3 linked regions of the Kluyveromyces lactis genome follow. The protein of the gene in region 1 purifies or fractionates together with the protein of each later gene. This does not show direct contact. Links are inferred from orthologs where the notes say so. Each region holds a gene or a part of one and is shown on either strand. Other genes may lie near its edges. The genes, in order: KAP95, ULP1 and PSE1.

Evidence for each region.
Region 2: the proteins of KAP95 (region 1) and ULP1 purify together in Saccharomyces cerevisiae (affinity purification with mass spectrometry; 6 studies listed by BioGRID, with this or other methods). This does not show direct contact. The link is inferred for Kluyveromyces lactis from reciprocal best matches to the Saccharomyces cerevisiae genes KAP95 and ULP1.
Region 3: the proteins of KAP95 (region 1) and PSE1 purify together in Saccharomyces cerevisiae (affinity purification with mass spectrometry; 4 studies listed by BioGRID, with this or other methods). This does not show direct contact. The link is inferred for Kluyveromyces lactis from reciprocal best matches to the Saccharomyces cerevisiae genes KAP95 and PSE1.

What each region holds. Positions count from the first base shown.
Region 1 is NC_006038.1:508,966-513,082, reverse strand, and holds KAP95 (karyopherin beta), read right to left. Parts: upstream 2,917-4,117; coding exon 331-2,916; downstream 1-330. Other genes in the region: long-chain fatty acid transporter ACB1, read right to left, coding at 3,724-3,960, 4,038-4,064. UniProt on the Saccharomyces cerevisiae protein: Importin beta subunit that functions in nuclear protein import through association with the importin alpha subunit, which binds to the classical nuclear localization signal (cNLS) in cargo substrates.
Region 2 is NC_006042.1:1,013,215-1,016,791, reverse strand, and holds ULP1 (SUMO protease ULP1), read right to left. Parts: upstream 2,301-3,577; coding exon 633-2,300; downstream 1-632. Other genes in the region: MutS family protein MSH4, read left to right, coding at 1-578; KLLA0_F10978g (uncharacterized protein), read left to right, coding at 3,004-3,577. UniProt on the Saccharomyces cerevisiae protein: Protease that catalyzes two essential functions in the SUMO pathway: processing of full-length SMT3 to its mature form and deconjugation of SMT3 from targeted proteins. Has an essential role in the G2/M phase of the cell cycle.
Region 3 is NC_006039.1:1,223,592-1,227,867, forward strand, and holds the start of PSE1 (importin PSE1), read right to left. Parts: upstream 2,812-4,276; coding exon 1-2,811. Other genes in the region: KLLA0_C14190g (CBS domain-containing protein), read right to left, coding at 3,458-4,276. UniProt on the Saccharomyces cerevisiae protein: Functions in nuclear protein import as nuclear transport receptor. Serves as receptor for classical and arginine/glycine-rich nuclear localization signals (cNLS and rg-NLS) in cargo substrates.

The sequences.
Region 1 (4,117 bases):
ATAAAACAGAATAATGAGTTATTAAATAAAATACAAGGGTAGAATAATAAGTAGTGCAATAGTGAGAATAAAAGAGAGTAGTAAGTAGTAGAAGAGTAGGGAATAAGAGTAGTAGGAGTAATGAGAATGATAGTAGTGGATCAAAGGAAATTTGAACTGGTCGACTTCTTTATATTAAAAAGGATGAGGGAACTGGCGTCCATAGATCCAATGAACAGTGGTTGGAGTGAATAAACTGTCAAAGGCAGTGAATTATGCAAGTGAGTTGTCTGTGGAAGTCAGTGTATTGTTATTAATAGTAGGCAGGCAAACAAGAGCGAATGAAAAGAATCACAAGTTAGATTGCAACTTTTGTTGTTCTCTTGCCCACCTTGCTGTATCTCTAGTGTTTTGAGAAAAGGATTGATTGGTTTTCACGTCCTTTACAAACTTAATCATCCATGGTTGTGTATAGAATTGTTGGAGCCTTCCGTCTGGGTACATGGCAGCAATATCACCCACTATACCGACTGCTGTTCTTGCAATTGAATCTTCTAATGCAACACTTGGATTATCAGCCAATAAGTTGATAAATTGGAAAATTGAACCTGTGTAAGGAAACAATGCATCTGGTTGGTCGTGTAGCCCTGTTATTATTCCTACGTATGCGTCCAATATTGATTCGTATAATTTATATTGATAATCGAGGGCATCAGAAGAGCTATAATTCGGTTTATAGTTTTGAGCCATGACGCACACGGACATAACTTGGGACAAATACTGTATAAAATCTGATCCAATGTTGGTGGCAATATCACCAAAAACAGAAAGGACTGCAGGTTGTAATTCCTTCTTCGCATCTGGAGAAGAAAGCATTTGCCCAAGAACACTCATGAACGATGGAGCGAATTTCTTGAAGTCATCCTCTAAAGAGTTAGAGATATCAGCAATTAGATTGACGGCAGTGATAGAAACTTGGGACTGTACTTGATTTAACGCATTAACCAAATATGGGGAGAAACTTTCCAAATACTTTTCAAAGTTTTTACCCAACGCAGATGCTAGAGCAGAAATAGCGTAAAAGACATCATCTTCCACGTATGTTGTATCATTCTTGCTCAAAAGTTTCATAAATAGATCCATCAACATATCTGCTACTGGATTAACAGATTGTGGGTTCTTTCTAATCACTGCAGCCAAAACAGATAAAATGTTCGATTGTAATTCATGTAAGTTTTGTCTATCTTCAGCTGTTAATTGAGCTTCATCCACTTGCATTGTTTGTCCAAGTTTATCCAAAACAAAAGTGGAAATTGAGGTAGTAGTTTCCCCGACTTGGTCATTAGCGAACTCTACTAAAGTAGTCAAAGCAGAAAATACAGATGCTCTAGCATTATATTCATTGTCTGACCTGTTTGAAGCTTCAAGCAATGCGCTAACAAGAACTGGATAATAATTGTATATCGGAGAAGAAGGGGTATCAGCTAATTGTTCGACAAGGTTGATAATCGTCCAAGAACAATTGGTAGCCACTTTTGGATGGTCTTTTAACCCGATCAAACAAGCGTTTACAACATCAGAAAGATGGTCTTGAGGATCTATAGCAGCAACGACTGAGTCTGCAATTCTGCCGATGCACCATGCTACTGTTTCCTTCACTTGCAAAACTGGATCCGTTATTAGGTTGAGGATAGGTGGTAACGCTTGATGGACTAAACTAGTCAATTGAGTTTTGTCAGGACCGTCCAATATAGAACCAAAAGCCATCACAGCCGCTTCGCGTTGTCTCCAATTGTCACTGGTGATGTTCTGTTCAACGAAGTGCAAGACAGGTTCTACTACGTAGTTACCACAGTTTTGAGCGAATAGTTGCAAACAAGCACCAGCAGACATTGCCACGTTCCAATCATCATCATCCGGATCTTCATTTTGCTTTGTTAAAAGCTGTAATAGAGTTGGCACCACTTCTTGGATGGATACTAGAGCAAAATTGTAAGATTCCAAGCCTGGGTTGGAGTACTGTGACAGTTCAAAAGCAATATCAATTTCTTCTTCACAGATGGTAGACCAAAATTCAACGGCCATTGCTGCCACCTTTTCATTGGATGATTGTATAGTAGCCACGGTCAAAGCGAATAGAGCTTGTTCCATGTAAGGTTTCATGTAGAAATAGTATAGTGACATGATTTTACAAAGACAACCAAATGCGGCCGCTTGAATATCTTCATCCGAAGCCTGGGTAGCTTCACATACGACTTGCATCAAGTAATTTCTTTCACCCTCACGTTCCATATTATTCTTAATGAATGCAAGCGAGTCAGCCAATGCATTAAGCGCGGTAAGTCTGACAATCTTAGAAGTTTCGTTCGACTGTGCACCTTGAACGATAGCGATCAAAATGTTGTTCGATTGATTGATTAAAGTTTCATCACTTTGGTCTGCACTTTCACAGATATAACCCAATGTCAACAAGGAAGCTCTCTTAACATTTTCTGGTTGTTCTTGAGCGGTATTATCTACCATAATCTTCATCAACTCTGGCCATTGATTCAATGGCAATTCGATCTCTGCAATGGCAGCGATCAACTGAGCTGAAGCGTTGGCAACACGAGTCTCTGGATCAACCAACGCTTGTAACGCAAACTGCTTAATATGATGTCTAGACTCTGCATCGACTTGCGTAGACCAACGTTGAGCAAACTGCTGGGCCTTTGTTGGGTTCTTCGAAATCAATTCGTTCTTCAACGTCAAACCTGCTAGAATTCTAGCTTCAAGACGAACGGACACATCGGCCAAGATCTGAGACAAAAGTCCAGCGAATTGCAAGAAATTATCGTTAGATAATTTCTTCAACGTCGTCTCCGCTTGAAGACGGACCGTTGGGTCCGGAGTAATGATAATGTTTTCCAAAAACTGGGCAACCTCGGAAGCTGACATAACGATTTGTAAAGGGTATTATAACTTACTAGTGTTTCCAAATCCTAGCGGGTCGTTTCAATAGTCAGTCTCCAAAATTATAGAAATAAAACAAGGAACTGCAACAGCAAACGGCAAATAATAAATTTTCACACTTGGTTCACTTTATAAAAGTATCAGTATATCGAATAGCGACGTTAGATCTTCCTTTATTCTGTAATTATTCGGCGCCTACTAACGAGTTTCTGAGTATGAACTCTCGATCAAGTGTCTCACGAACCGTTCTCCCTTGCACAAGACACCTAAACGCAAGGATACAAAGTGAAATGTTTCCCTGTTTCTTGGATCCTAAGTTCTTTTGTTTACGAAATGTTTTCTAGTTGTTTTTGTTTGATAAATAGATGTGAAGGAAAGAAATTCTTTGAAGCTTGGGAATAAGCAAAAAATAAGAAAAAGCTGTGTAGCATCTTGTAAAGCGCGTTTGTGCTACGATTTGGAGTGGAATCAGATGGAAAGTAAAAGAGTCTGTTACCCGGATATATTGCCTAGAAAACAATGTATGAACCCCATAAATGAAGAGAAAAATAGGGATCGTGCTCCTGTTTAACGGAGGGTAACTTATATACTGCTAGGGAAGAAAGAATTTTTTGCCACTCAACTGCAAATAGCCGGGTAAATAGTTGGCGTTAGCTTGTTCACGTGACTTGTAATTCGTGTTTCAAACCGAGTAATAAGGGTATTATCATTAGCTATATGGATCAAGGATAATATATATGTAGATATAGATAGTTAGTTAGATGATGCAATAACTTGCGAGACCATCCAGCTCTATGGGGCGTATTTCTTGATCAATTGGTCAACCAATTCGATGTACTGTTGTTCGGCATCTTCTTGGGAAGTGCCCTTCAACAATTCCCAGGCGTCCCACTTGTAACGGTCCTTCAAGTTGAACATGCCTGGTTTTTCCTTGGTGTTGTCACCGACGGTTGCTTGCTTGTATAGAGCATACAATTTCAACAATTCATCGTTATTTGGAGTTGATGGCAATTCATTGACAGCTTTAGCCTGCAGATAAATGTAAGATGCGGTTAGTATGATTATTAAGGGAAATCAAAAGCCATTGCAACAACGATTCCACATACCTTTTCTTCGAATAATTGAGAAACCATTGTGTTTTGAGTGAGTGTCGATATCTGACGTATTGAACTAACACTTGTCTTTC
Region 2 (3,577 bases), on another chromosome or scaffold:
TCTCAGCAGAAATGAAAGACATGGCATATTTCATTGATGATATAACAGATAAGACTCTTATGATCCTAGATGAATTAGGACGTGGCTCAAGCATCGCAGATGGGTTCTCTATAGCTTTGGCTATATCGGAATATCTCCTTTCCAAAAATGCTACTGTATTTCTATCGACACATTTCAGAGATATTCCTAAAATATTGGCACCAAAGCCTCGTGTTTTACATCTTGAGATGAAAACTGAGATTGATCAGGAATCACATCTCAAAATGAAATATAAAGCCTCCACAGAATCAGAAGAGATAGAAGGATACGGTATGATGATTTGTAAACGAATTTTCAGTGAAAGAATTATGTTGGAAGCATACAAAATATCGGAATTACTTCGAGCTAGCAAAAGAAAAGGTTTGAAAATCATTGCAAAGGAAGATTCTTGTGATAATGCATGTCAAACTACCCAAATCAAACAGGTTTATTATTTAGTACAAAAACTCAAAGCGTTTTGTAATCATGAAAAAACAATTGACATTGAAGAGTTGCGAAGTCTACAAGATGATTTCATTTCAACGTTTGAAATAGTCTGAAACAAGTGGTAAGAATAGCAAATTTTAGTATTCGTCAACGAAAAGAGTTTAATTCTATTTACTTAATATTAAATGACCTATGTAATTTCTCATGTTTGCTGCATCTTTAGAATCAAAGCTCAAAGTGTAATCCTTGCTCATATAAAGTGTATTCAGACAAACATATATGCCGCAGTCAAATCCGTTTGGCTGCTGTGGACAAGCAATATGGCAAAGTTCGAAATCCTCACCAAGCTTTTGTTTGCTTTCTTCCATCACATAAGACTGGAGATTTTTCATAATTAGGAAACTGACCGAATTCATTCCAGAAGAAAGAGAATCAAGATAATAAATTTTGTGTTGCTTCATTTCTATTATACCCAATGTCCAATGAGAATCATTCAAATTGATAGGAACGAAGATCTTATTAAGATCTAAAATATCAACCTTCTTTCTTTTCATCCATCTTCTTACACCTTGATAGCCTCTGTCAGCTAAAGTAGAATAAAAAAATGAGTTAAATGCAACAGTTTTGGCAGTGTTTTGTTCGATATACTTCATGAAAAACTCAATGATTGTGTCATTCAACCACCTTCTAGGGGCTAATGTCTTGAAATCTCGCACAGTTACTTCCAACATATACTTGGATGAAAGAACAGCGTTATCAGACCTATTGAAAGTTGCTTTCACTTCCGATAAATCTTCAGTTGATAGATCAGGTATCAGTTTTTGTGGTTTGGCGGTTTTCCTCACTTGCTCTACTAGTTTCCTTCTTTCTTCAATCAACTGAGAATAGCTTTTGAACTCTTCTTCAAAAGTAAGGAGAGAACGATCAAATTTCAACGTCTGATTGTAGATCTGTTTCCTTTTCTCTTCTAATGGATCAAGCTTGTGCTCTCTTATTATGACTATGTCATCAGTTGTAGATCCTCTTTCGGTACTTGGGCCTATTGATTTCCTGTTTTCCAAAATTAAAGCCTTAATCCTTTCTGTAAGCCTTACAATGTTGTTATTACTACTGTTTGTACTGGCATTGCTGCTGTGGCTGTTATCTCTTGAAAGAAGTTTGAGCTGATTTTCCCTTTCCTTTTGCATCTCAATCGGTACATGATATTCTCCGTTGAATAAATTTTTTAAATATGATACTTCATCGGACGGTTTAGCAATTAATGCAGTGGACTGCTGTTGCTGGTTCTTATGCTTGAGTTTTCTATAGAGTCTAGTTCCATATTGTACTCTTGTAGGTGAGGATTCTGTATAGTTTTCTTCATTAGTATTATCCCAATGGAAAGGATCCTTAGGTAACTTCAACACTTCTTTCGTTGGAGTAATTGAATGTTGTAACTGTTCCCTTAAATGCTCCTTCTCTTGGAGCAGTGAGTCTAAATGAATTTTCTTTCTCGGAGTCGACTCCTCATCAACTCCTCTTTTCAAACTGTCGTAATTTGCTCCAGTAGTGTTGGAAATGGTACGATCTTTCCCATTTTCTTGCTCCAAAGGATCAATCCAGGAAAACCATGTCTTTGCTGAATCAAAAAGAGTTGAAAGGACAGTATTATATCCCAACGATTTCCACCTACTTTCGCTACCTCTATCACGTGCTTCATTACCAGAATTTAAACTATCTTTGATACCTTTCCGGTCGAAATAGTATGGTTTAGAAGAGACATCTGCAGTTATCACCGTTGATCTGGAATAATCACTAATGTCATCAAACCCTTTTCGATGATACGATACCGTCATTATTTCTACGCCAGTTTCATATAAGTGGTGAAAGTTAGAATTTAACAAATGATTCGGTTACAATAATTAAACTAACACTCAAAACTAGTATTTCAGCTGCCATGTAGCCTGTAAGTTACCATATATTACCTCGTTTCTTCGTTCCTGAAGTTATTATTGTTGATAATTGAAAGCAGCTTTTCGACAGAGATGCAATCCATGTTGAGAAATGTATACTTATTTAAACATTACCCGGATACTATCACGTGCACAAAATTTCTGCCAGGGCCCTTCTGCCTGAAAAAGAAAATAAAGAAATTTGCCAGACTAAGATTACTCAAATTTGACATCATAACTATGTAGAGTATCTCTCAGGGTATCTATCAAGCGAAGTGAAAACGGTGAATACAGCGCCTATATCACAGCAGATACAAGGCTGTGTAGACAGTTTCAGAGCTGTATTAAATTACAACTTGGTTTTCAACCCAAAATATCATTAACAGAAACAAAAAGAAGTTTATCGTTATCGTCATCTATTGATTGTACTAACAGTCATAACGGAAATATCGAGATACACTTGCTATAAAGTTTTGAACAATCTCAAAAACATTGGTTGAGAAGTAGTAAAATTGGTGTTAATTAATAAACTTGATTTCAGTCTAATTTTTTGACTTTTCTATCAAGAAATCAGTATCTTGGATCAAGTATCTATTTTGACTGGAATATGAATGAATCGTCGAGTGAGAAAGGAACTGTAGCTAGCAGTGTGAGTGACGATTCGGGTGATATGTCAGAGGAGCATATGAGCAATTTGAGGAAGAGAGTTAAGAAGGAACCAGTCAATGCTCTTGAGGTTTCAGAATCTTTAGGGTATCAAACGTTTAGAAGAAAGATGAGGAAAATATGGACCAAAGAAGAAGATGATCTGCTTAGAAAATTGGTTAACGAATCGTTAGTAAATTTGGGATATCCGGATGGTATCAAATCTATTAAAACAATTCAGCAATCTAGTAATGTTGTCAAAAAAATTCCCTGGGATCAGCTTGCCAAGCAATTCGAATTGGATAATAAGAAAGCGACGGATGTGAAAAAGAGATGGACTAGTTCTTTAGATCCTGTATTGAAGAAAGGTAAATGGACACCAGAGGAGGATGAGCTTCTCTTAAAATCATATGAACACCATGGTCCGCAATGGTTTAAGATTTCCTACGTTTTAGAGAATAGAACTGAAGACCAATGCGCGAAGAGGTACATCGAAGTGCTTGATCCCAGTACTAAAGACCGACTACGACCTTGGG
Region 3 (4,276 bases), on another chromosome or scaffold:
GGTGTTGGGGGCATATTGTGCACATACTCCGAGTAGGTATGCAGTACCCTGGCGAATGGAGGGTTCAGGGAATGTGAGGCACTCCTTAATTTTCTGAACGAAATGCTGTTTGAAAGGTGCAGAGTTATCGCCAGTGTATTCTATCATATCAGCAATTGCAATCAAGGCGAACAATAAAATGAATACCTCAGTCTCCTGCAAGTATGAATGTATTATTGGCCATAAAGTCTGGAACTGCTGTAGATAAGAAACACCTGCTGATTTGAAAACAGCAGCTAAAGATTTGTTAATCTCGTCAAGCAAATCTTCATCGGTATACTCATCAAGATCGTCATCAACATCTTCGTTGTATTCGTCATCCTGATCGTAACGGGATTTTGTTCTTTCGTAGACGTCGGTTAAGTTATTGTTCACACCTTGTGTAAATTGTGACAATTGCTCTTGATTTAATCCGTTGTTTCCGACAATTCCCAAACAATCAACAAGAGCATAGTGATACGACTTAGTAACTTCTGGCATCGGTTCAGAAATAATTCCAGAAATTAGCTTATTAGATGCAATTTGCCATAATTGTAAAACGATATCGTTGTCCTGTCCTACAGCCGATACCAAAGAGGTAAACAAAGCAGGAATTAAAGTAGCACCACGAGCTCTAACACCATCATGTAAGTAGAAATCAATAGATGGGACGGCAACTTCTGTAAGGATTTCCTTAACGTATGATGCAAAGAAACTTTTCAACACAGTGGCGTAAACTTGTAGAAGCTCCATAGCAGTCACTTTATCATCTAAAACTGAAGTATGAATAGCGATGTGCTTACCTTGAATTTGCACAACATCCCAATCTGTATACTGTTGGTAGTTTGCAGCTTCCTCTTCTTCAATTAAACTAACGTCCTGGGTAGCCTTGGCAGTTTCAAGTAGTGGCGGAATAACTACATCCAATAACGGAACAAAATCCTCACGAAGAATCCTGCAAACTCTACTCCAACTTTGTTCAAGGTAAGTCTTTAGAGGATCGTCGTCCTGAATACCTTCATTTTGATAAGTTATGAATAACTGGATCAATTCTTGAGAGTAGGAGGCAAACTTTTCTTTGCCCACAGCTAATGCAATAAGAGTAGAACATTCCATACACTTACCCTTCAAGACTCTGCTTTCAGTACCTGTATCGGTTCTCAACACGTTTATCAATAATGGCATTAATGTATCATAGTATTTGATGAATTTCTTTTCGGCTGCTTCTGCGATAAATGCGATAGTAGTTAAGGCCTGTTCTTGAACGTACAGCTTGGAACTTTGCAACATGCTTAATAAGTTAGTTAAAAGACTATCCAAGTAAGGTTCCATAATCGATTGCGTAGCTTGTTCGGAGAAGTTCACCAAGGCAGCCGCTGCATGGGTCTGAACTCTGTCGACAGAGCTTGAAGTGAGCTTAGAGATTAAAGCAGGCAAAATTTTTTCATGCGAAGTGCTTTGAATGAGAGGAGCGAAATCAGTGGATATCTGACCCAATACATTACAGCAACCGTATTGAACTCTTGGATGTGGATCATCGATCAGTGGAACAACCATTTCCAAAATCTTATCTATCTCGATCATTAATACATCACGGCAACCTTCTGCAGCAGATGATAACGCCATCAATGCTGCGAACCTCTCTCTCCATTCAGAAGATGTGATCATTTGTTGTAAGAATTGGAATAAAGGTGCGGCCAAGTATTTTCCGTTTAATTTCAAGGCAACACGATCCAAAGCTTGACGTGCCATATCGTAGGTATTTTCCTCATTATCTTCTTCTACATCATTCGAATTTTGCCATTCGATTGCTTGGTCATCATCGATGGAAACTTCAGTCATCATGACAAGGGTATCAAGTACCACTGATTGGGCGTAATTTTGATTATTTTTACACATCTGAGGGGCGCATTCACTGAAGACAGTTAACAACTCCAAAGCAGTCGTTCTGGCACTCGGTTCTAAATCTTTATTCTTGATGACCATATCTGCAAATTGGATAATTTGATCGAACATATCTTTGAAGAGTTTAGGAGCCAACTCAACTAATTCGATCAATGATTCGAATACGGCGGCCAAGGCCTCATCTTTACTGTCATCCAAAAACTTTGGCAAACTGTTCAAAAGACTTGGTAATAGAACACCTAGTTTGGCCCAGTTATTCTTTGGAAGCTGTTTGAAGTACCCAACAAACGCTGTAACAGCTGCAATCTTGACTTCATCGCTAGGATCCGTGAATCCACTCTCAAAGATAGGCAAAGCATGGTTGATGTCAATGGAATTGATTAGATGAGGCATACTTGAGAAAATTCTGAAACTAGATTCTCTGAAATTTGGATCTGTGTTTTTGATAGCTTCGAATAACGTTTGGAGTAACGGAGGCCACTCAGGTAATTCTTCTAACGCACATTCTGCAATTGCATCAGATAATTTGTGTCTAATATTGTTGGGTCTTTGGGAGATAAAACCCTTCAAAAGTGTATCTCTAATTTGCTTCAAGGCTTCCTTCGAAATATGGGTAATATTTTTGGCAATGATTATAGTCTTAGATGAAGGTGGCGCTCTCAAAGCTAGCTTACGGAACAAAACTGCAGACAAACCTGCAGTAGTCAAATCATCAGAATATGCAGATTGTTCCGCTAGAAACATCAACAAAACTTCGATGTGCTCCGGTGTAATCCAGTTGTTATTCAAAGCATCTTCTGCCGCCGAACGAATCGCATTGTCTGGTGATGCAAAGCCCTGTAGCAACTTCACCAAGGTGCTGTTCACTTCATCCGGTAGAACTGACATTGTTTCGAATCAGCCACCACAAAAAATGATTCAAAGGAAAAGGATAGTAGAAGAACAAAGAACAAACAAAGTAAACTATACTGCTATCAGCTTTTCGATTCTCTCCCTCAATAGAGATTATTGCTTACAAGCTCAATTTTCCTACCGTCAAAATATACTGATTGCAACGAAGGCGAACTTATGTTCAATGCTAAAACTTCAGCAAAAACCAGTAACTGTAACATAAAATGTACTACTATTCAATTTTCAATATATCTGAAATATCTGATCTTAGAACGAATTGTTCTTTCATGTATAATTTGGAATCACAGGAACAGAGAAGGAAGAAAAATTTGGCAGGTCAAACTAATAGTGCATCGTCCATAGTGATATGCGGGTAACACATAGTGGTGCTCTCTGTAATATCAAGATCGTCGTCATCTGTCATTGGACAGTGTTCTTAATATAGCAGAAGAAGGAAACGGTTAATTGATGTGAATATATTTCCATATTTGCTTTGTATTTCTGATAGATGTTCTAGTGCTTCTTTTCTTTTTTCTTGGCAGCCAATTGTTTATTCATTTAATAAGAAAGAATTATGAGTGGAAATGTATAATCTATATACATCGGTATATGGCAAGGATAACCAGTAACTTCCCCGAATGTTTCATTTTAAAGCTTTTCCCACCATAAAACCAGCGAAGAAGACTATACATGCCTGCATGTATATCTTCAATGAGGAAGTATGAAACACTGCGGTGAATGGAGTTGCCATCGTTTTAAAAAACTGACGTAGGTGGTGGAAAACACCTGACTGCTTATCATGCAGAATAAAAAGCAAAGGCATATAGTGACGGGAGCCCTGCATAACAATGAACTCGTCATAAATTTGATGCAATTTTTCATTAGTTTTTATCTCGATATCCATGTACTCAATGGAGTACGGTGATTCGATTCCATAAGTTTCTTTCACTTTGGCTACAATCTCATTTAAGACGTCTTTTTCAAAGTTTACTCCGGACTGAGTCTTGAATTTCATAGAGCCTAGAACTTGATTATCCTTATTAGGCTTCACGACGGTAACTTTCAATCGGAATTTGGTATGTTTTCCATTTTCGAAGAATTTTTTTTGTAATAATGTGGAGCTTCTTCTTCCAGAAAACTGTTCTGGGATCGGTTGCTGTGATTGTGAAGGATATTGTTGATGTTGTTGTTGCAAATGAAGTTGCGATTGTTGTAACTGTTTGTGGGAGCTAAAGTTACCTATTGTTTGTGTTAAATCTACCAAAGATAATTGACTAGAAGAAGCACTTTCATTATCAGAGGCATCAAAAGATTTCCAAAAATAATTTATAGATAAAGAAGGAACTTCTAGCTCAGATGCTGATCCAGTCCTGTAGTTTTCATCAACATCTTTCTCTACAAGCAAAGAACCCAAGGGAGAGTCAACCGAATTTATCTTCAAATAAGGTTCTTCAATAGCAGA